Caenorhabditis elegans: one gene and its partners. The protein of the gene in region 2 purifies or fractionates together with the protein of the main gene of each other region. This does not show direct contact. Each region holds a gene or a part of one and is shown on either strand. Other genes may lie near its edges.

The links. Proteins that work in one complex are often made in the same cells at the same time.
Region 1: the proteins of clec-150 (region 2) and gstk-2 fractionate together in Caenorhabditis elegans (co-fractionation; one large-scale study listed by BioGRID). This does not show direct contact.
Region 3: the proteins of clec-150 (region 2) and dnc-5 fractionate together in Caenorhabditis elegans (co-fractionation; one large-scale study listed by BioGRID). This does not show direct contact.

Annotation. Positions count from the first base shown.
Region 1 is NC_003282.8:7,238,354-7,243,844, reverse strand, and holds gstk-2 (Glutathione s-transferase kappa 2), read left to right. Parts: upstream 1-1,574; 5' UTR 1,575-1,589; coding exon 1,590-1,740; intron 1,741-2,339; coding exon 2,340-2,719; intron 2,720-3,188; coding exon 3,189-3,335; 3' UTR 3,336-3,400; downstream 3,401-5,491. Other genes in the region: elo-3 (Putative fatty acid elongase 3), read right to left, coding at 3,949-4,062, 4,470-5,147. UniProt on the Caenorhabditis elegans protein: Has roles in respiratory and lipid metabolism.
Region 2 is NC_003281.10:999,563-1,008,730, reverse strand, and holds clec-150 (C-type lectin domain-containing protein), read right to left. Parts: upstream 6,025-9,168; 5' UTR 6,005-6,024; coding exon 5,895-6,004; intron 5,619-5,894; exon of another isoform or gene 5,556-5,618; intron 5,147-5,555; coding exon 5,028-5,146; intron 4,965-5,027; coding exon 4,842-4,964; intron 4,796-4,841; coding exon 4,667-4,795; intron 3,845-4,666; coding exon 3,726-3,844; intron 3,680-3,725; coding exon 3,577-3,679; intron 3,468-3,576; coding exon 3,350-3,467; intron 2,829-3,349; coding exon 2,668-2,828; intron 2,622-2,667; coding exon 2,515-2,621; 3' UTR 2,433-2,514; downstream 1-2,432. Other genes in the region: clc-27 (G_PROTEIN_RECEP_F1_2 domain-containing protein), read right to left, coding at 75-121, 169-277; R06B10.7 (uncharacterized protein), read left to right, coding at 7,334-7,438; trp-2 (Transient receptor ion channel domain-containing protein), read right to left, coding at 6,836-6,917, 7,007-7,135, 8,075-8,216, 8,911-8,952, 9,021-9,068.
Region 3 is NC_003279.8:2,878,785-2,885,336, reverse strand, and holds dnc-5 (Dynactin subunit 5), read left to right. Parts: upstream 1-1,882; 5' UTR 1,883-1,896; coding exon 1,897-2,013; intron 2,014-2,975; coding exon 2,976-3,309; intron 3,310-4,312; coding exon 4,313-4,416; 3' UTR 4,417-4,461; downstream 4,462-6,552. Other genes in the region: arx-1 (Actin-related protein 3), read left to right, coding at 1,378-1,473; Y71F9AL.8 (Myb_DNA-bind_3 domain-containing protein), read right to left, coding at 4,482-4,568, 4,947-5,192, 5,784-5,886, 6,053-6,337, 6,388-6,504.

The DNA of each region.
Region 1 (5,491 bases), on a different chromosome or scaffold from region 2:
AATTTGAATCACCGCGATGACAAATTCCTTTTTTTTACTTTTTTTTACTTAATTTTGCTTATTTATTTTTGCTTATTTTTGGACTTCTCAATTGTTGATTCAAATTTCATAGCCAATTTTTTTAAATTGAATTTCCTTGTTGGGCCAGTAAGATCAACTTAATGCAAAACCCAAATAAATGATACTAAAAATATTTATTTCTTCAAACTTTGAAACAATTTGCACTCTTTATGAACCAAAAGTCAAGAATGTGGCAAACATTTGCGAGTGGAAGGCAGAGAATTCGATAAGAAGAAAACAAAAATGAGTTCTAGATCTGAACTGTTAGTTTTCACATCATTATTGTTTTTTAAACTTTTCAGATATAGTTTAATTGGAAAACTTATCATAAAATGTAAAAGTTTTCCAATTAAATTTAAAAACAATATATTCCAGTTGTTTTTTCCAAAAGCCGGAACATTTTCGGAACAAATTATTCCAATCGGATTATTTTCTATTTCATTTTCTTTTTTTTTTCTCCGAAACGTGAACTTTATGAAATCCCAATTCCACAACCCAAAGTACATATTTAACCTCCAACAAACAACACAATTCTGTTCCCTCTTTTTCACCCGTTTGCACTTTATTTCTTTTCACTCACCTCGAGTCACGTGATCTCCTTCTAAGAACTGAATTTCAAAAACACAAAATGTTGTTTTCATCCGTTTCTATTTCAGCCCTTTATGTTTTTATTGAACGGTGAAAAGATCGGATCATTTTTACACTGGCTACAATTTTATTTTTTCTCATTTGTTCGTGTATGTCATATACCTGCCTGCCTGCGTGCCTTCTTAGCCCCTCGATTCTACATTCTAACATAAAATGAGCTGGGTGGTGTACACACATGATAAATTTACGTTTATCTCCCTTTATCATTTAAATTGTTTTGTTAAAAGTTCAATTAAGAAATGGCAGGTATTTTTGTGCGTATTTGGAATAGTCATAAAGCATTTAACCAAACTTCTTTCCTGAAAATATTGTTCATTGTATATTTTCATATCTTTTATCCAAAACAACTAAATGCTCAAAAATCGCACATCTGGTTATCACGTGCGGTTAGGAAAAATAGAAATCAAATATTTAGAGTACCCAAGTTTTTTTCCAAACAAAATCTATTTTTATCGTGGTCATTTGCAAACAATTCTACACTTTGTTCACTAGACTTGAGACCAACTGTTTTTTTTCTGTTTTTTGTCCGCTGATGCTCCAATTGCTCTACCACGTGTCTGTGCTCCTATCAACTCATTGGTACCTCCCTTGATGTTTACACAAATATCTTTTCTTTCTTCTCAACTCTATCATTATTGTCTGGCCAACGTGATTCGGCTGTTTTTTTTTTTCGTGCCTAATTATTTTAAAAAAAACTTTTCTACAAAATAAGAATTTTCAGAAATCTTAAAAGCGTCCCGAAGTAGTTCAAGTTGTTTTAGTACTGGAGCTCATTAAGGTTTAGAAAAATCATAAGCTTCTGTTTTTTTTTCGCTTTTTTGTCGAAAAATTTTAAAATAATTGCTGAATTTTCATGAATTTTGCAGACTTCAAGTTTCAAAATGCCGAACCGAAAAGTGGTCAAATTCTTCTTCGATGTCATTTCTCCGTACAGTTACTTTGGATTCGAAGGAATCACTCGTCATCGTTCCGTTTGGAAGACTCCAATTCAGATGAAACCATTCTTTTTTGCTGGTGTTGTCAGACATACTGGTGAGTTTTTGTATTTTTGTCTTGAAATTTCTCTAATATCCGTAAAAAAATGGAATTAGCTTTTTTAAAGTAAGGTTTTTAAACCATGACCCTCTAACAATTCCGTTTGAAATGTCAAAATAAAAGCTTTCAATTTACTTCTGGAAAAGGACATGCAAAACCTTAAGAAGCCTGTATGTTATTATTTTCTAAAAAATGCACCTCTATCTATTTATATCATAAGGTCGGCTACTTCTACTTCTTAAAATCTGCTTTAATCTGACGAAGGGCACTAGAATAGATAAATACACTTAAATAGTTCAACAATAGTTCAACATTATAATAGTTGAACATGACATATATTAACATAATAAGACAATCCAAAAATTTCAGGATTTTTCAAAATGATCAGTGAACGTTTTGATAAGTTGCCAAATGTCCCTAAAAGGACTATTTGAAAGCAATTTCGAGACATTTGGAAAAGTGATATTTGGTAATTTTATAAGTATAGGAGCATTGATAAATAACATAATTGTTTTGAAAATTTTTTTCGAATCGTGCTAATCATCAGAAAGTTGTTTGATATGTACCTTCTAAATCATATAACTGCAAGTTTTCAGAAAACCCCGGTCTCCCACTCCGTATTCCTATCAAAGAAAAGTACATGCACAAAGATTTGCTCTTCTCTGCCCAATATTGGGGAATTCCGTTCCGTCTTCCCAAGGACTACACAAATATGATGTTGAACACAAGTTCAATCGTTCCACAACGTATTCTTGTCGCTTCACAACTCCGTGATAATGTTTTGATGGAAGACGTTGCTCGTGGACTCTGGCATCGATTTTATGCATACGGAAAACCAATTTTCACAAAAAGTCAAGTTGCCGAAGTTTTGAGAGATTTGCATGTAAAAGATGTCGATGAGTTGGTGATGATGAGTGATTCGGCAGAAGTTAAGAACATTTTAAGAGAAAACACAGATGAAGCCATCGGGAATGGAGTAGGTCATTTATTATAGGAACCCAGAAAAACACGGAATCGACGAGAAAACACGCTCCACAACCAATTTAAAACGGTCCGCCCCCTAACGATGGGTCTCGTTAGGTATTTTCCGTTAAACTTGAACGTTTTTGATTAGGCTCGACAATTTTCTAGAATTAGTCTTTCTGTTATATTTTTCGAAGTGTTTAATGATTTCAACATCGAAATGATGTCTAAGAAAATTATGTGAATTTAGGGCGTTTTCACTTATCATAATAATTTTATTTCATCTATTTCAACCGAAAAAACATCAAAAACTACGAAAAATATAACAAAATAGACGACGAACGCAAAATTCCTAACGAGACCCATGGTTTAGGGGCGGAGCATTTTCAGTTGGCCCCGGAGCGCGCTTGCGCGTCGTTTTAAAATGTTTTTTTGCTGTTTTATAATATTCTCAATTGGGAATTAAAATTAATTTTTTTCAGTGTTTCGGAGCTCCGTGGATGCATATCACTGATGGTCACGGAAAAGTACTTCAAACAGTTTTCGGATCGGATCGCCTTCCACAGGTGGCCGATTTTCTTGCCGAGCCATTCAAGGGTCCAATGAGAGAGAAGAAGCCGAACGCATAAATTGTCAGATTAGCATTCTAAAAAGTGTCTAGAATTTTATCTGAGAAAGAATAACGATTAAAATTAATTCTTTCTTTTGTGTTGGCAAGAGAAATACAGAAAACGATGGAAAAAATGTGGAAACAAAAAGACTACTAATCTATTTCACACGAGTTTCAATTTGTTGCGGCAATTACAGAAAAAAAACGGAGCAAAAAAGAAAGAGCATAAGCTAACGAAAACTTGGGGTTGGTTGGGGGGACGAAGGGTGAGAGATCTGAGTATGTGTTAGTTTTGCGTGGCCTCTGATGATTAGCCGAATATAAATAAGGGAAAGCGTAAAGGTTTGATAAAAAGTAAAAGAGAAATTTCAAGAAACGAAAAATAATATTACCGGTACAGAGAGTGTAGATAGTTAGAGAGTGACAGACATCCGGGACCCAATGGGGCGGGGCGCGCGGAAGAGACGATTTGTGTCGATTTACGAAATTTTCCTCGTTGTCATTATTTCGTAAATCGACACAAATCGTCTCTTCCGCGCGCCCCGCCCCATTAGGTCCCGGATGTCTGTCACTCTCTAACTATCTACACTCTCTGTACCGGTAATAGAGAACAAATAACAATCTGATATTTTCTAATCAGCTTTTTGAACTTTTCTTCGTGCGGCGGCGGACCTCGTTGTGATGGATGGCTCAGCGATGTTAGCATTGATATCTTCTTTTGGCTCCAGAATTTCGAAATCAACAGGCTGAAAAACGAATTATTTTTTTCCAAAGATTTTTTAAAAATATGCTCATAAGTCAGAATTTTCCAAGTTTCCCAGCAAGGGTAACGGGTTTTCCATTTTTTACTGAAATCTAACAATCGAAATGTTTTTTCGATTTTTCTGATATTTCGAAAAAATTCGATTTTTTCCAAATAGAAAAGTTAAAATTGTGGTCATTTTTCTTCTTGGAAGAATAAGTTCATATGTTTTCTTATGTTTTTTTCCATCAACATTAACAAAATTTGATGAAAATTGAATTTTATAATTATTTTCTGAACATTGCCGATTTTTCGATTTTCTTGAAACCTTTTTTCTCAGGTAAATTAAAACGAGATCGGGGAAATTTTTTGAATTATTTTCATAATTTACTGTACCTAAAAGATGCTCACCTCTTCCTTTTCCTTCTTATCTTTCTTAACTTCGGTATAACGGTTGTTTTTCTTAACATATGCATGGTAGAAGAAGTTGGCGAAAAGAAGGAAATATGTGAAATAAACTCCAAAGCATAATCCCAAATTGTCCCATGTCTGTTGGCAGTATTCACCCGATGACTTGATACGGTAGACAGTGACTCCGATGATTACTCCCATAACCATTTGAGCAAGTTGGAGAGTAGTAACAACCATTGCCATTTGTTTTGGAAGACGGAATTTCAGAGAACGAAGAGCATAGTAGGAATACATAAGAGCATGAACTCCATAATTCATCCAAATGAACCACCGTCCTGATGCAGTGTGATCCTTGTACGCGTGCCATGTGTAGATCATAACAGTTACATGATGATACCAGTGAAGGAAGATGAGTGGACGTTTACGAAGAACGATGAAGATTGTGTCGATGAGCTCGAAAAGTTTGCTCATTGCGAATTGTTCAGTCCAGAAACCAGTGACTCCTTGAGCATAAGATGAATGACAAATTGAATATTTGAATGAGTTTCCTTCTGCTGACCAACTCCATACAAATTCAGGTGTCATTCGGAGGAACCCGAGAATTGAGAAAATGGCTAAAAATGAATTCCAGACGAAGAGTGGTGTGTCCAGTTGGAAGGGCTTGTACTTTTCCATAATCTGAAACATTTGAGAACTATTAAGTGATTTTCGGTTTCGATTCTTAATTGCATTCTGAAGGCTAGACTCAAAAGTAATAACTCGTGATTTTTTGTAGATGAGAACCACCTGCTAAGCAATTACTTTAATGTCGATATATTTTCGGTTATGCTTTAAAATATGTAACGCACCTAGGAGGCTTCTGAAACGGAATTCACAGTTTTTGGGAGTAGAGGTTGTGTTTTCTATAGTAAAAACTGGTTAGAAACTACCGAATTCATGATGAGACTTCTCAAAAAAAATTCTAAAAATTTTTATGACAAAAATTCCGAAAAAGTCCAAAATTTGAAATTTTGCCAGCTTTT
Region 2 (9,168 bases):
TTGTTAAGGCAAGGTTTCAAAGCTTGACAAGGGACTCAGGGCTCTTTGTGCAATTTTACAAAAATAAAACTCACAGATCTCCAGAATGTGAGCCCAACTCTTACCAGATCCTTTTCACCCACTGCAAGTAATGAATTTGCCGTTTTTTTCAAAATTTTCTTAACCAACTTATTTTACTATAGTATATAAAAATGGAATTCGATAGGATTCCGACCACGTGGAGTAGAAAGCAGATTAGAACAAAAACTCCGTAGAAGTAGAGCTTCAAGTTAACCATTTTTGTTGACTGGGAGTTGTTTGCAGGTATGGAAAAAGGAGCACAAAATGATAAGAACTTGCTTTTGATCACAACCTCCAATAATTGCTTTTCAGTGTTCTTAATCAGTTCCTTGAAATCATAACAAGTGGCGTAAGAATTGTGCTCTTGAAAATTTCAAATTTTGCTACAATTGTTGAAATTATGTTGAACAATATATAAGGTTCAAATTCGGTCTTTTGGTGCATTTTCTGAATTTTTAAAATAAATTTCCGAACAACATAGCATACTTTTTTGGAATTTTCTGGTATATTTGATCATGCTGAACAGTTTTATGAAAGAAAAAATAATCGCTCCATATGATTTTGCCGTACTTTTGAATTTTTGAAAATAACTGCTTTTGGTGCATTTTCTGAATTTTTTAAAACATTGAAGCTAGCATACTTTTTTTGGTATTTTCTGGTACATTTGAAAATGCTAAACAGTTTTATGAAAGAAAAAAGAATTCTCAATTCATGAAAAAACACTGGGAAATTGAAGTTCTAGCAGTGGTTTTGTTATTAAGTTGCATAGGAAATTGGCTAAATATTCGGATTAGCAGCGAAATTGAATTTCCAGAAAGGTTATAAGAGTTTTTAATTAAATTCATTTCCCAAAGACCAAACGCCCAGAATTTGCCGATCTCATACCCATGATCTCATAAAAAGGGGGCTATAAAGGGCTTTTGATTACACAATCTTGCGCGGAAAATCTGCCTATTGACGTGCGTGCCGAATATAAACTAACAAGCAGTGTTGCTATTTATCACGTACTGGCATTATCATCCAAATCCCTTCTGAATATTATAATCCGATATTCTCTCTGGTTACTGCAGATTAACAAATGACTAATTGTATACTTTCATCCTAAAATAAATGCTTTCTGCCTCCGAATTAAACGAAAAGTAGTCTGAAGGTCTTGGAAAAAAGGTTTCCCGTTAAAATTCCCAAGCTTTAGACCCAAAAAATCGAGCTCTCCACCTAGAAAAACGTATTACCTGCCTCGGGGAGTCGAACCCCAGACCTATTACTCCATAGACAAGGCGCTTACCGCCCGCGCCACGTTACACTCACGCGCCAATGCTACCCCTGCACGCGAGCGACCGGTGGCACAGGCGGTAAGCGGCTCGACTATGGTGAAAAAGGTCAGGGGTTCGGCCCCTTGGAACTGTTTTTGGGTTTTTCTAGGCGGAGAGCTCGAATTTTTCAGTAAAAAAACGCGCAAAATTATTGTTTAAACTAGTTTTCAACCAAATTTTTTGAGTTTTGTTTTAAAAACAAAGAAAAGAAAAACAACTTCAGTTAACAATAAAACCTTTTTATTGCCCATATTCATTAAAAAAGATGGAAGTTAACGAATTAAAAAGGGGTGCGGTCGCCAGCATGATGGAAGCCCAGCGCACCACGTAACCCCACAATAGAGTTGCCAATTGGTTCCTGTTATTGCGACAAGTTCCCTGAAAACGGACAGATTTCGGTAATAACCAAAACAAAAACGACTTACTCAGGACAAATGAGTCTGGAAATCCAATTGGGTTCCATTGTAGGGAATGCTCTCCTCGAAAATTGCTCTCGTTCAACTTATGAAAAAAGGAGAGAAGGGCTCTCAGCGTCCCTTCCCTCCCCGTCCTCGACTCGCTACCTTCTTACTCTGAGCCAACAAGAATAAAATGAAGAAAAACGGAGTTTTCGGCAAGTTTTATACAAATCCCGAGGCTCCCCTCTCTTTGCTAATCTCCAGTGGGCGTGAGTTTTCTTCGATGCAGCCGAAAGTGTAGATAATCTCAGATTGAAAGCTTTATCCCTGGAACTTTGAATGTTTGATCTTGTTTTTTTGGGTTTAGAACTAATTTTCCAAGTTTTAGACCTAAAAATTCGAGCTCTCCACCTAGAAAAACCTATTACCTGCCTCGGGAAGTCGAAACCCAGACCTTTTGCTCCATAGGCAAGGCGCTTGCGCCACTTTGCTTACTGCGCCACTTTGCACTCAGGCTGCTGCGCTGCTGCGTGGCGGTCGGCAAGCAAGCTACCGGTGGCGCAGGCGGTAAGCGGTTTGACTATGAAGAAAAAGGTAAGGGGTTCGACCCCCGAAACTGTATTTAGGTTTTTCTAGGCGGAGAGCTCAAATTTTTAGGTGAAAAACTTGAAAAACCGACGAGGAAACTAATTTAGGACAACATTTTTCGAATTCTATGGTAAAATAGTCAAATTTATTAAAAATTAATGACATTTTAAAACATTGATAACATTTTGAATATCCGTACTGCTGAAATCATTCGAAACCGCGACATTTTTGACTCCAGCCGGGATTCCTGGCATTTGGGACCCTGAAACTACCGTAATCACCTGCAACTCAACTACAGTAACCCATACCATTCAAGGATATTACGACGACTTCATCGAACTTTGGGAATGGCTGGAAAAGTGACGGAATTCCGGAAAAATCGCGGCGAGCCGTCAAAAATACCAACGTAGTGTAGCCGATGTTGTTCATCGATGGGACCCACCGAAACTTTTGAGCACCGGTTATTGCGCTAAAATTTGAGTTTTAAAGTTTTTCTAGTTTTTGAGATGTTTTAGCTAAATTATAGATTAAAAGTTGCAAAAATATCATAGCTATCTGTGAAAATTAATTTCAAATAAAATCGAAAAAGTTGATGTGAAACGAATTAATTACCCTATTTTTCAAGTTTTAACTAAAAAATAATAAGAAAACCTAAATACAGTTTCGGGGGGTCGAACCCCCGACCTTTTTCACTATAGTCTGGCCGCTTACCGCCTGCGCCACACCGGTAGCCTGCGTGACTGAGCAGGAGTGCAAAGTGGCACAGGCGGTAAGAGCCTTGCCTAAGGAGTAATAGGTCTGGGGTTCGACTTCCCGAGGCGGGTAATAGGTTTTTCTAGGTGGAGAGCTCGAATTTTTGGGTCTAAAACTCGGAAAATATATCGGGAAAGCTCGTAAAAAAGGAATTGGGAGCTGTTGCAGCTCAATTAAAACTCTCCAAGCTCTTTTTTATTTATTTTTTAGGCCAAAAAAAATCTGAAAAAAGCTCACTCGGTAATATTATAGTCATGGTCAGTCTTTCCCTGGTCCCAAACGTTGGACTCAAGGAGATTGTCAAATTGGTAGTGGCTCCATGCTGGGCTCGTGTCAAATTGTTGCTCATATTGGGCTGAAAATGAAAATTTCAGACAAAAATTTGGGAAAAAATTTTTTGAAAAAAAAATTTTTTTTTTGGAAATTTTTTTTGAAGTTTTTTTTCAATATTTTTCAAAACTCACTGAATCCATAAAAAGCTGGTGACATATAATACAGACAGGTATTTCCATCACTGGTCGGGTTTGCAAACAGGTAATCCGTCACCGCTCGGATAAATTCCCGCTCCTGCAATTTCAAAAAAAAAATCGATTAAAAGTGGGCGGAGCCTAACCTTATTGTAAAAGCTCAAAGCATTTGGGTCGACATTTGGATCACCAACAGACTCGGCATCAGCCATGAATTTTATCATATTTTCCTGATTTCTCACAGGCTTCTGAGTTGTCTTGGGGGCTGAAAAATTGTGATTTTTTTGGCTTTTAGTTTTCGTGGCGAGACCCTTGAAAATTTTTAATGTAAACATTTCATTTTAACTTCACTAAATTCAGCTCACCGAGAGCTTTCAAAAAAGTATAATCATGACTAGGCTCCGCCCACTTTTAGGGACTTTGAAATTTTCGAAAAAATATTGCGAAATATTTGTAAATATTAGATTTTCAGTGAAAGTTTTAACAATTTCTTTTTGAAATTATCAAATTAAAATTGTTTGTGTCAAGACCTTTCAAAAAAGTATAATTATGACTAGGCTCCGCCCATTTTGAGCGATTTCGCAATAATTTTTGGGTCCCGCCACGAAAACTGCTGGGGGTACTTTGTTTCTTAAAAATTTGCTAGAAATGTTAAAATTTAGGTAAAAATCAATAAGTTATCTTGCTACCACTAAAAAAATTTAAAGAAAATCTCTAAAATTAAGAAAGTTATGAATTTTCGAAAATTTCAAAAATTTCGTTAAAATTTTTTAAAAAGTATTTTTCGAAAATTCGTAACTTTTTAAATTTTAGCGATTTTAAATTGATTTTTTTTACAAACTGCTACCAACTTTTCAGATTTTACTGGAAAAACTAATAACCCCATTTTTTTTTGAAAATACAGTGCCCAATGAGTTTTCGTGGCGGGACCCGAAAAATTTAGAAATTCGCCCAAAATGGTGGAAACCTAGGCATTATGGTGTTTATTTTAAAGCTAATAACGAGCTGAATATGATACAATAAACTACAAACCAAAAAAATCTTGAAAAATCTGAAAATGTTAGAGTTTTAGAAAAAAAAAACCCACTATTCGGAGGATTTGTCGGTGCTCCGAGAGCCGGTCCATAGCAAAAGAACGGATAAGGCTTAGTGCAGTCCTGGGCTTGCCAACGGGCATCTGCAGCACGCATGGCTCCGCAATAGCCGGCAGTTGAGCCTGGATTTTTTTTTCGGAAATATTTTTTTCCTAAAATTTCACCAACTTGAAGCCCAGTTCATAAATACCAAATCCAAGCCATCAATCCATTCCCACGAGCCATCGGCCGTCATATCGGTGAGCCCGATCCAAAAGTAGTTGGCCCAAACGTTCGAGTTGCTAGAGAGGTCTGAAATATTTTTTTCCTAGATTTTTACATTTTTCTTTCCAAATTTTTAAGTCTAAAACTTACTGTACAAGAAATTATTGTCAATCATACTTGGTACAGAGGCCAGGTGGTAGCCACCATAGTCATAGCAAGCTTTTTCAGCGTCATGGAACGATGCGGCGCCCGTATGGACCACGTAGCAGCTGAAAATTTTAAAATCAATGGAAAACAACATTAAAATTCGGATTCAGCGGAAAGTTTGGGTCTAAAATCCTTTTAGTTCAGGCTTCTAGCTCAATTTTGAAATTTCGAGGGGTACTGTAGCTTCAGAAGTCCCCAAACACCGAGTACAGTACCCCCTATACACCGAATCTTACGACATTGGCTCCAATCAGGCTGAAAATTATGAACTAGAGTAACTTTAAGGTGCTGAGTCCAAACTTTAACATGAAAATTTTCAGAAACTAACCTTGATTTGGAAAATCTATCAATTTCTTTGAAAATGTATGAAAATATAAAAATTTTCGTGTTCAAAAGCAATTAACACAAAAATACTGTTTAAATTCGTATTCAGCGCAAAATTTGGGTTCAAAATCATTTTAGTTTGGGCTGCTAGCTCAATTTTGAAATTTCAAGGGGTACTGTAGGTTCAAAAATACGCAAACACCGACTACAGTACCCCCCATACACCGGATCTTACGACATTGGCTCCAAACGAGCTGAAAATTAATATGTAAGCTATATCAAAGGTGGCGAACTCGAATTTGTTAAAATTTTGACGCTAAAATTTTTTCCCAAAAAAAAAATTTTTTTTTGAAATTTTTTTTTTTGAAAATTCTGAAAATTATATTTTTTAAGTTTAAACTGTTTCAATATAATGTTCCGGGCGAGTTTTTGGTGCTGAGGTCAAATTTTTAAATCAAAATCGTCTATAATCCCATTCAAACTCACAATTTCCCACTGGGATCCAACTTTTCCTCCCCATGACACGTGGCAGCCGAGCCAACAGACACAGAGATAAGAAACAATAGAGAAGCAGAGAAAATGTGCTCCCGGAGCATATTTGCAAACCAAAATGATCAGAATCACTGATAAGACGTCAAGTTTTATAGGAGTTTAGTCGGGGTGGGGTGTCAAAGTATCACTGCCGTTTTCAAAGCGGAAATTTATATTGATAAGGTGAAGAGTTTTAGACTATAGATACTAAAAATATCTTGAACATTTAAATTTTGATTTTTTGACTTCTTGACTTTTTGAACTAAAAAAAAATTCGAAAATTTTTTTTCGAAATTTTTCGAAAATCGATAACTCTGCCAGATTTCAAGATTTTCGGCTTTTCTCAAAATTTAGATAAAATGTTCATTCATGCTAATAAAATATTAAAAACCAAATTCCCTGCAAAACTACCGTACCCCAAGAGTTTTCGTGGAGGGACCCAAAATTATTGCTAAATCGCTTAAAATGGGCGGAGCCTAGGCATGATTATACTTTTTCAAAAGCCAACGGCGAGCTTTAATTGAAATTCGCAAGTTCCTACCAAAAATAAGAAAAATTTGGAAAAAATATTTTTCACAAATTTTTGAAAAAATCGATTTTTTCGAAAATCGATAACTCTGCTAATTTTCAAGATTTTGAGCTCATTTTTTTTCTCAAAAATTAGATAAAATATTCAGTTTTGCCTTGAAAATACCAAAAAAAAAAACAAATTCCTTTCGAAACTACAGTAAGCCAAGAGTTTTCTTGGTGGGACCCAAATTATTGCGAAATCGCTAAAAATGGGCGGAGCCTAGGCATGATTATACTTTTCTGAAAGCTCACGGCGAGTTCAATTTGAAAATTAAGTTGAATTTTAGCTAAAATTCAAAAATATTTATTAAATATAGGAAAAACTGTCATAAAAGTTCATCAGTGTCGTCATTGAGACTGGAGGTGTCGAAACTCGTATGGGCTTGTTTTTGAAGCGGCGATTTTTTGCTGAAATATAATATTTTAAGCATGTTATTAAACTTTAGCTTTAACAAAAACATTTTGAAAAATTTCTGGAAAAAATTCAAAAAGCCCACCTCAACGCATGTAACCGGGTAACATCGAGATGTGTAGTATCGATTGATTTGGATTTTGAAAGACGTGAAGCTTTCACTTTCAGATTGCTCCAGCTCAACTTGGAGCTGCTCGGCATGAATGATGGTTTTCTAAAAAGTGTTAATTTTCAAAAAAAAAAAAAATTTTTTGAAAAATATTTTTTTCTCGAAAAAGTTGAAATATTTCCGAGCTTGAGATTTTTACTCTGAATTACTAGAAAAATTAAATTCAGCTCATCGAGAGCTTTGAAATGACCCCTAACACGTCTAGGCTCCACCCACTTTTGGGTTGTCGCGGTGGGACCCAAAATGGGCGGAGTTTTTAGCTGTACGAGTTTTCAGCGTTATAGCTTCAAAATTTGCAAAAATTGGAATTTTCATCTGCCTAATTGTAAGTTTATTGTAGATTATTGATTTTAAATTTTAAAAAATCAAATTTTTTGTTGGTTTTTGAAAATTTTCGAAAATTCATAACTTTGTTAATTTTCAAGATTTTAGGCCAATTTTTAAGCAGAATTAAGAAAAACTATTGATTTTTACGAAACAATTGAATCACTTGTGAATTTTCCGAAACTACAGTAGCCCATCAGTTTTCGTGGTGGGACCCAAACTATTGCGAAATCGCTCAAAATGGGCGGAGCCTAGTCATGATTATACTTTTCTGAAAGCTCTCGGCGAGCCAAAATTGGATTTTTTTACAAAAATTGTTAAAACAAAAATTTCAGAATTCAAAAATATTTTTAAAATATTTCAAAATTTTTTTAAAACCATTTTTTTCGAAAATCTGTAACTTTTTCAATTTTGGAGATTTTTACTAATTTTTACTTTTAAAATGTACACAATTCAGTAAACGACGCAATAAAAGTATTTTATCCGTTTTTCCTCCCAAAACTACAGTACCCCAGAAATTTTCGTGGCGGGACCCGAATTTATTGCGAAATCGCTCAAAATGGGCGGAGCCTAGTCATGATTACACTTTTCTGAAAGCTCTCGGCAAGCTAAATTCAAATACAGCAAAATTTTAAAGTTTAAACAAAAATTAGAACCCACAGCCGCCCGTTTGACTGAATCGAGGAGATGCTCATATTCCGCTGACCGGCCTTGAACATCTGTGGCACCGGGAATTCTTTCAGTAAAAGCGCCGAATTTTTCAAACGACGCTCTGCCATGGCGGTCTTTTTCTTGTTTCGTGCTGAAAATTAGAAAAAAAAAAAAAAAAAACTCAAAACAAATCGAAAAACTAACTAAAAATTCGAATTCAGCACAAAAAATTGGTCTATTCCGATTTTAGTACAGGTTTCTAGCTCAATTTTCAAATTTTCCGGGGTACTGTAGCTCCAAAAGTACGCAAACAACGACTACAGTCCCCCAAAACACCGGGTCTCACGCAAAATTGCAGAAAAGCTCTGAAAGCCTGTTTCTAAGGGTGAAATATGACGAGAAATTTGAATTTATGGTCAAAATTTAGTTTAGAATCAGTTTTATTTTTTTTTATTATTTTACTTGAAAACTCAATTTTTTGCACTAAAAAACTAAATTTTTTTAAAATTCACTACGAAATTTGGATTCAGCGCAAAATTTCGGTCTAAAGTTGTTTTAGTTTGAGCCTCTAGCTAAATTTTCAACTTTCCCGGGGTACTGTAGCTCCAAAAGTACGCAAACACCGACTACAGCTCCCCAAAACACCGGATCTCACGCAAAATTGCAGAAAAACTTGAAAAACTCGTTTCTAGGGGTAAAATGTGACGCCGAATTCGAATTTTTTACTTAAAAAACTCAAAAACCACTAGTTTCTCCAAAAAATCACTGCAAACCATTCCCAAAAACTTCACAGTTACGGAATTTCACAGAAAATAAATTCAACAAAAAATCAATAATCAAATTACAATGAAATTGTGCTCCGCTGTAGCGATTTTTCGCACAGTTCTCTGGAAATATTAGTACGATGCACCGAAATTCCGGTATTTTTTTTTCTGAAAATTTTGAAATTTCTTACCCGGTAGTTGTTTTCGCGGTCGTTGACGGATCGCAAGATTTTTTGATTCTGCAAAAAAAAAACTGTGTGTAGATTTACGGGTCCTGTGTAGATTTAAGGAACTCTCTGTGTAGATTTACGGGGTTAAGTGTGTAGATTTACAGGACTA
Region 3 (6,552 bases), on a different chromosome or scaffold from region 2:
GTAAACTTTGAAAAGTTGATTAAAAATTAATAAATTGAGCATAAATTTTTAAAAAAAATGAGCATAAATTTTGAAAATCTCAAAAAATTGCTATTTTTTCCGAGAAAATGCATTTTTGACCGAAATTTTGGTACTTTTTTTGCAAAAAATATCAATTCTTTCGTTGAAAATAATTTATTCGAAAATTTGAATGAAAATTAAACTTTTTCACTAAAAAAAACTATATTTTTTGAATTTCGTAAATTTTTTAAAAAAATCGATTTTATTATTTTTTACTAACCAACTAATTTTTCCAACAAAAAAAATTTAATTTTCGATTTTTTCTGTAAAATTCCCAAAAATAATTGATTTTTTTTGAGAAAAATTTCAAAAATTCGGATTTTTATTCGAAAAATTAAAAAAAAAAGTTTTATTCAGAGCTTCGAATGAAATTTCTGAAATTTGTATTCCAGTTACCTCAACAAATTTTTAAAAATTTATATTTTTAATTTTTTGGCAATTTTTCAAAACTTTTTAAAACTCAAAAATATCCAAATTTTCAGTCGGAAAAAAATTGAAAATTTTATTTTTTTTTTGGAAATTTTTGAATTTTTATTCAGAATAAAGTCATAAATTCCCCCGAAATTTGAAAGTGAAAAAAATCAAAAAAAAAAAAATTAGATTTCGAATTTAAGAAATAAAAAAATTTCACTGAAAAACTATGGTTTTTGAAATAAATAAAGCACTATTTCTGAACAAGTTTTGAAAATTCAAAAAAAAATCGATTTTTACTAGCCAACTAATTTTTCCAAAAAAAAAATCTAATTTTTGATTTTTTTTTCTTTGAAATTCCCAAAAAAAAGTCAATTTTAAGTTTTATCCGGAAATTATATTTTTAATTTGTTTTTCTTCAAATTTGCAAAACTTTTTGAAACTCAAAAAATTGAAAATTGTTTTTTTTTTTGGAAACTTTTTAAAAAATTTTTATTCAGAATAAATTAAATTCTCCCGAAATTTAGTGAAAAAAAACTGTAGATTTCGAATTTAAATTAAATTTTAAAAAAATCGGTAGAATTCGAAAAAAAACAAATGTTTCCGATTTTTTCCAAAAAAAAATCTAATATTTGATTTTTTTTTTTGAAATTCCCAAAAAAGTCAATTTTAAGTTTTTGAGAAAAAATTGAAAAAAAATTTTATTCGGAAATTATATTTTTAATTTTTTTTTGGCAATTTTTCGAAACTTTTTGAAACACAAAAATAGCCAAGATTTCAGTCGGAAAAAATTGAAAAATGAAATTTTTTTTGGAAACTTTTTTAAATTTTAATTTAGAATCAATTAAATTCCCCCAAAATTTAGTGAAAAAATCACCAAAAAAACTATCAATTCCAAATTTTCAGTCGGAATTCTACCAAGTTTCACACACAAAGGCCGAATACATGGAGAGAGGACCATCGATTTGTCGTTACAATCCAGTTTTCGGAGCTCTTACTTAATTTTTTTTCTCCATTTTTTTGTATTTTTTCCCTATATATTTTCTCCAATTTTAATCCCTTCTCCACGTTTTTTTCTCTCTAATTCCCGAAATTTTTGAACACACATTTCACTTTTTTTCATCTTATTCTGGGCGATTCGTGTATGTACTTATTATTTTTATTTCCAAAAATTACCAATTTTTTAAAACCTTTTGAACGAAAAAATTCTCGAAGAAATTTGATTCCTGCGCCCCCAATTTTTTTTCTTAAATTGTGTTTTTTTGCATGACTATTGCTTTAATTTATTCCCCCGTTATATATAAATTCCCTTATTTTTGTAGTCTTTTTGGAGAAAAATTCCGCTCGATTTGAAAAAGTAGAACTCTTTTGTGATATTTTTGAATTTAAAAAAAAACTAGAAAAATTTCAGACGCTGATTTTCAGATGGATCTTCCAATTGTCTACTACGATGAGACGGAATGGGCGAAGACGCATACGGGAAATAAAGTGAATAAGAAGCATGCAATTGCTGGAACACAGAATATTTTAATTGCTGGAAAAGTGAGAATTTTTGGAAATTTTTAGAAAAAATTCAGTGTTTTCCAAGTATTTTGAAAAAAAAAAGAAATTAAAAAAATAGCGCAATATAATTTTTCTAGATTTTTGGAATAAGCTATACAAATTTTTTGGCAAATTCGGCAATTTGCCGGAATTTAAAATTTCTGGCATATTTGCCAAACCGGCAATTTGGAAAAAATTTAAATTTTCGGCAAATCGGCAAATTGGCAATTTACCAAAACTTAAAATTACCAACAGTTTGGCGAAAATTAAAATTTCTTGAAAATTCGGTAAACCGGCTGAAGATGAAAATTCCGGCAAATCAGTAATTTTCCGAAAATGAAAATTTCCGGCAAATCGGCAAGTGGGCCGGAATTGAGCATTTTAGGAATATTCGGCAAACCGGCAAATATGCCAAATATTCAAACTTCCGGCACACTGGCAATTTGCCAAAAATTAAAATTTCCGTAAATTTGCGAGAAAAAAAAATTTCCGGCAATTTTCCAAAAATTAAAATTTCCGACAGACCGGCAATTTTCCGAAAATGAAAATTTCCGGCAAACTTGACAAACCGGCAATTTGCCGGAATTTAAAAATTCCGGCAAATAGGCAATTTGACAAAAATTACAATTTTCGGCAAATCGGCAATTTTCCAAAAATGAAAGTATTCGGCAAACCGGCAATTTTCGAAAAATTGAAATTTTCCGGCAAATAAGCAATTTGTCAAAAATTGAAATTTTCGGCAAACGACAAACCGGCAATTTGTAAAAATTTAAAATTTCCGGCAAACCGGCAATTTCCCAAAAATTCTAATTTTTGGCAAATTCGGTAAACTGTCAAGTTGCCAAAATCTAAAATTTCCGGCAAATTCGGCAAACCGGCAATTTTGGTACACCGGCAATCTGCCAAAAATAAATAGCCGCCCACCCCTGATTTGAAACATCAAAAAAAGTGAAATTTTGCAGACAATAATCGAGGAAGGAGTGACAATTCGCGGTGATCTGGCGACAGTTAAAATTGGAAAATATTGTGTTCTAAAGTCTCGATGTAACATCCGTCCATGCATGAAAATATTCAGCAAAAAACCAACAATGTGCAACGTTATGATTGGTGATTATGTATTTATTGAAGAAGAATGTGTCGTCAATGCCGCTCAAATCTACGCATTTGTACATCTTGGAGCTCGTGCGGTGCTCGGAAATGGTTGTGTGATTCGAGAATGTTCGAGGGTTCTTCCGGATACTGTAGTTCCAGCGGACGCACTTTTTCCACCGTACTCAACGATCGGCGGGAATCCTGGTCAGTATGCCGTCGAAAAAGCGAAAATTTGAAATTTTCCTAATTTTTTTGAGAGCCGGAAAATCGAAAAACTGGAAAAAAAACGTTTTTAAAAGCACAAAAATTGCCTGTGATGATTGAAAAATTGGAATTTTGACGGAAAATCGAAAATTCCTAATTTTTCGAACTTTTTAAGTAGGAAAAATCGAAAAAACTGGAAAAATTGAGAAATTTCTTTCAAAAAACATTTTTAAAAAAACTGAAATTATTGAAAAATTGGAATTTTGGCGAAAAATCGAAAATTATCGATTTTTCTTATTTTTCTTATTTTTCTGAGCTCCCTAATTTTCAAAAAATGGTAGAATCGCTGTGTACTCCCCGAGGAGAAGTTTTAATTTTATTCTACAGTAAATTTTCAGTTTTTGACTCGATTTTTTTCATTTTTGGACCATTTTAGGCTTTTCAGTTTAAAAAAGGAAAATTAGAAAAAATTTAATGAAGATTCAATTTTTATTTTAAAAAAACACATTTCTTTGAAAAAAAATGGCCGGATATTATCGAAAATTTGAATTTTTTACCAAAAAATCTGAAATTTTTTTTTGGATTTTCTAGAAAATAAAACTTTCAGAAAAAAATGCAGATTTATCAGAAAGAATTTCTCAAAAATTTGAAAAAAATTTCCGAAAAATCGTACTAATCGAAAATTTAAAGTTTTTTTTTTAATTTTTAGAAAAAATTAAAATTTTCAATAATCTCCGGTAGTTTCTTAATTTTTTTTGGAAATAAATGTTCTTTAAATTTCTCGATTTTCAAAAAAAAAATTTTTTTTCCAAAATCGATCATTTTTGCTGAAAACTGATTTTTAAAATTTTGAAAAAAAAAACCTCCTCGAGGACTACACCGGCAGTTCTTCCATTCTCCAAGAAATTTTTGAGCCGCGAAAAGAAAATGAAATTTCCGGCGAATTCGGCAATTTTCCAAAAATTGCCGGAATTTTTCCAAAACAAAATCAACTCTTTTTCAGCTCAAGTGGTCGGCACTGAACCCCGTTGCACCGAGAACCTGATGATGGAGGCCATAACGATGTACTATGATAATTTCGTACCGAAACAACGAGCTATCGCATAATTTTATTGTAAATAAAACGGGATGATTTCAATAAATAATTCTTAACATTGGAGGGGCGAGCATGATCAACAATGAACAATATAAAGTGGCAACAATTTGATGGACATTTCCAAAACTTTGTTCATTAGCAGAATGTAGTTGTCGGTGGACTCCTGGAAATTTAATTTTAATTTTTTGAAAGGATTTTAATTTAAAATACTCAAAAACTAGTCCCAAATGCCAAAAAAGAAAAAAAAACGAAAAAATTCGGATTTTTTACGCCTAATTTGAATTCTCGCGCTTTTGTCTCTAAGTTCCGCCTATAAAAACCGTGCCGCACTCTGGTTTTTTCAATTTCGACACAGATTCCTGTTTTTTTTTTCTAATTTTCAATAATTGTTTAACATTGCTGACCGTATTCTTAATTGAAAATTAGAAAAAAAAACAGTGCGGCACGGTTTTATGGGCGGAGTTTAGAGACAAAAGCGCGGCGATTCAAGTAAAAAATTCAGGTAAATCGAGAAGTTTTCAATTTCTCGGAATAAACTCACATCAACACAAACTGTCACATAATACTCAAAAAATTGGAAAAAGCAAAAAACGGCACGAATGATATGCTGATTGGTGAATCTTTTGTGTAGCTCTTCGCGTATTTTACGGAAATATTGCATGCGAAGGTGGTTTTCAGTGAACTTTTTGACATCAATCATTATCCAATCGGCTTTATTTGGATCGTCGAACATTTTTCCGTACAGGTGGTCTAGATTTTGTTGGTTCTCGAGTTCAGCGAACATTTTCTGAAAAAAAAGAAACTGTATTTTATACGAAATTGTGTCATTTTTAGGGCCAAAAATTCCAAACCAATCAGCGAAGGTGGGCGGAGCCAGGCGCTGATTGGTTTGAAGTTCCTCTCCGATTTTTAATTTTTTTTTCCAAAAAAAAAACGAGAAGTTCCGTTTTAAGTGTTTGCTTAAAGCCAAAAACCGGAAAAAAATGTTTTTCTTTTCTAATTTTCACAAAATCAAAGAAAATTAGTGTTTCTCTTATTATCCAGACGCGAAATTTCGCACCAAAAATACGGTAGCCGGTCTCGACACGAAAATTTTTGTCGAACACAAAAGGGTTTGCGCCTTTAAAGAGTACTGTATTTTCAAACTACTCTTTTCTGAGGAGTTTTCATAGCTTTTCGATTAAAAAAACACACGACTTTGAGAAAAACTGAAAAATTGGTGGAAAATTCCACAGCTACAATAGTTCGAAATTACAGTATTCTTTAAAGGCGCACAACCGTAAAAATTGATTGAAAAAAAAATTGTCGTGTCGAGACCGGGCACCGTATACGACCGTACTTCACATTTAAAGGTACATGCATCTTATCTTTGCTGTACCTTATTGAAATCATTATTTTCAACAGTCTGTCGGATCAAATCGTTAATTGCTTGAGCTGCTTGGCCGGCTATTTTTCGCATTTCCGTCTTCCAATTGTGTGATCTGAAAATATTTCCTCAATTTATTTATTTCCTGCTGCAGAAAAAATGAGAGAAAAAAAAGTTTTTTTTTAATTTAAAAAAAAATCGATGTTTGTTGGTTTTTCGGAGCAAAAACTAGTTTTTTTGGCAAAAAATTCGATTTTTTGTGACATCTGTGGAGTATTCACCTCTGTGGAGGCTCTTCTTGTGGAGGCTCTGGCTCCACAATTGTCGAAGCACAAGAACTTTCGAACACATCACGGGATAACTCATCATTTCTTTCGATCCGTTGAGTTCTTGCTCCAGGACTTTTTGTTTTGCCCAATTGTGCTGCGCTGGTCGTCGGAGCCGTCGGAGCCGCTTGAAGCTCCAAGCTTGCGACCTTTTGCACCTCAATTTCAGAATTTTTCTCCACCGGGCGGCTTGCAACTACTTGCACGATTTTCACGGTTTTTACTGCCAAATTTCGAATGCTAAAAACATTTTTTTTAATTATTTCATGTTTTCTGAAATTAATAATTACTATTTTCGAGTCTCAGCACCGAGTCTTGACCCAAAACGTCTCTCAAGTGAAATTAAATCCGAAGATTTCAAATGTCGAGAGTAATAATCGATATTCGGGACAATTTGACGTCGCATTCTGTAATTAATTCCATATTTTTAATCGATTTTTTCTAAAAATTCGCAC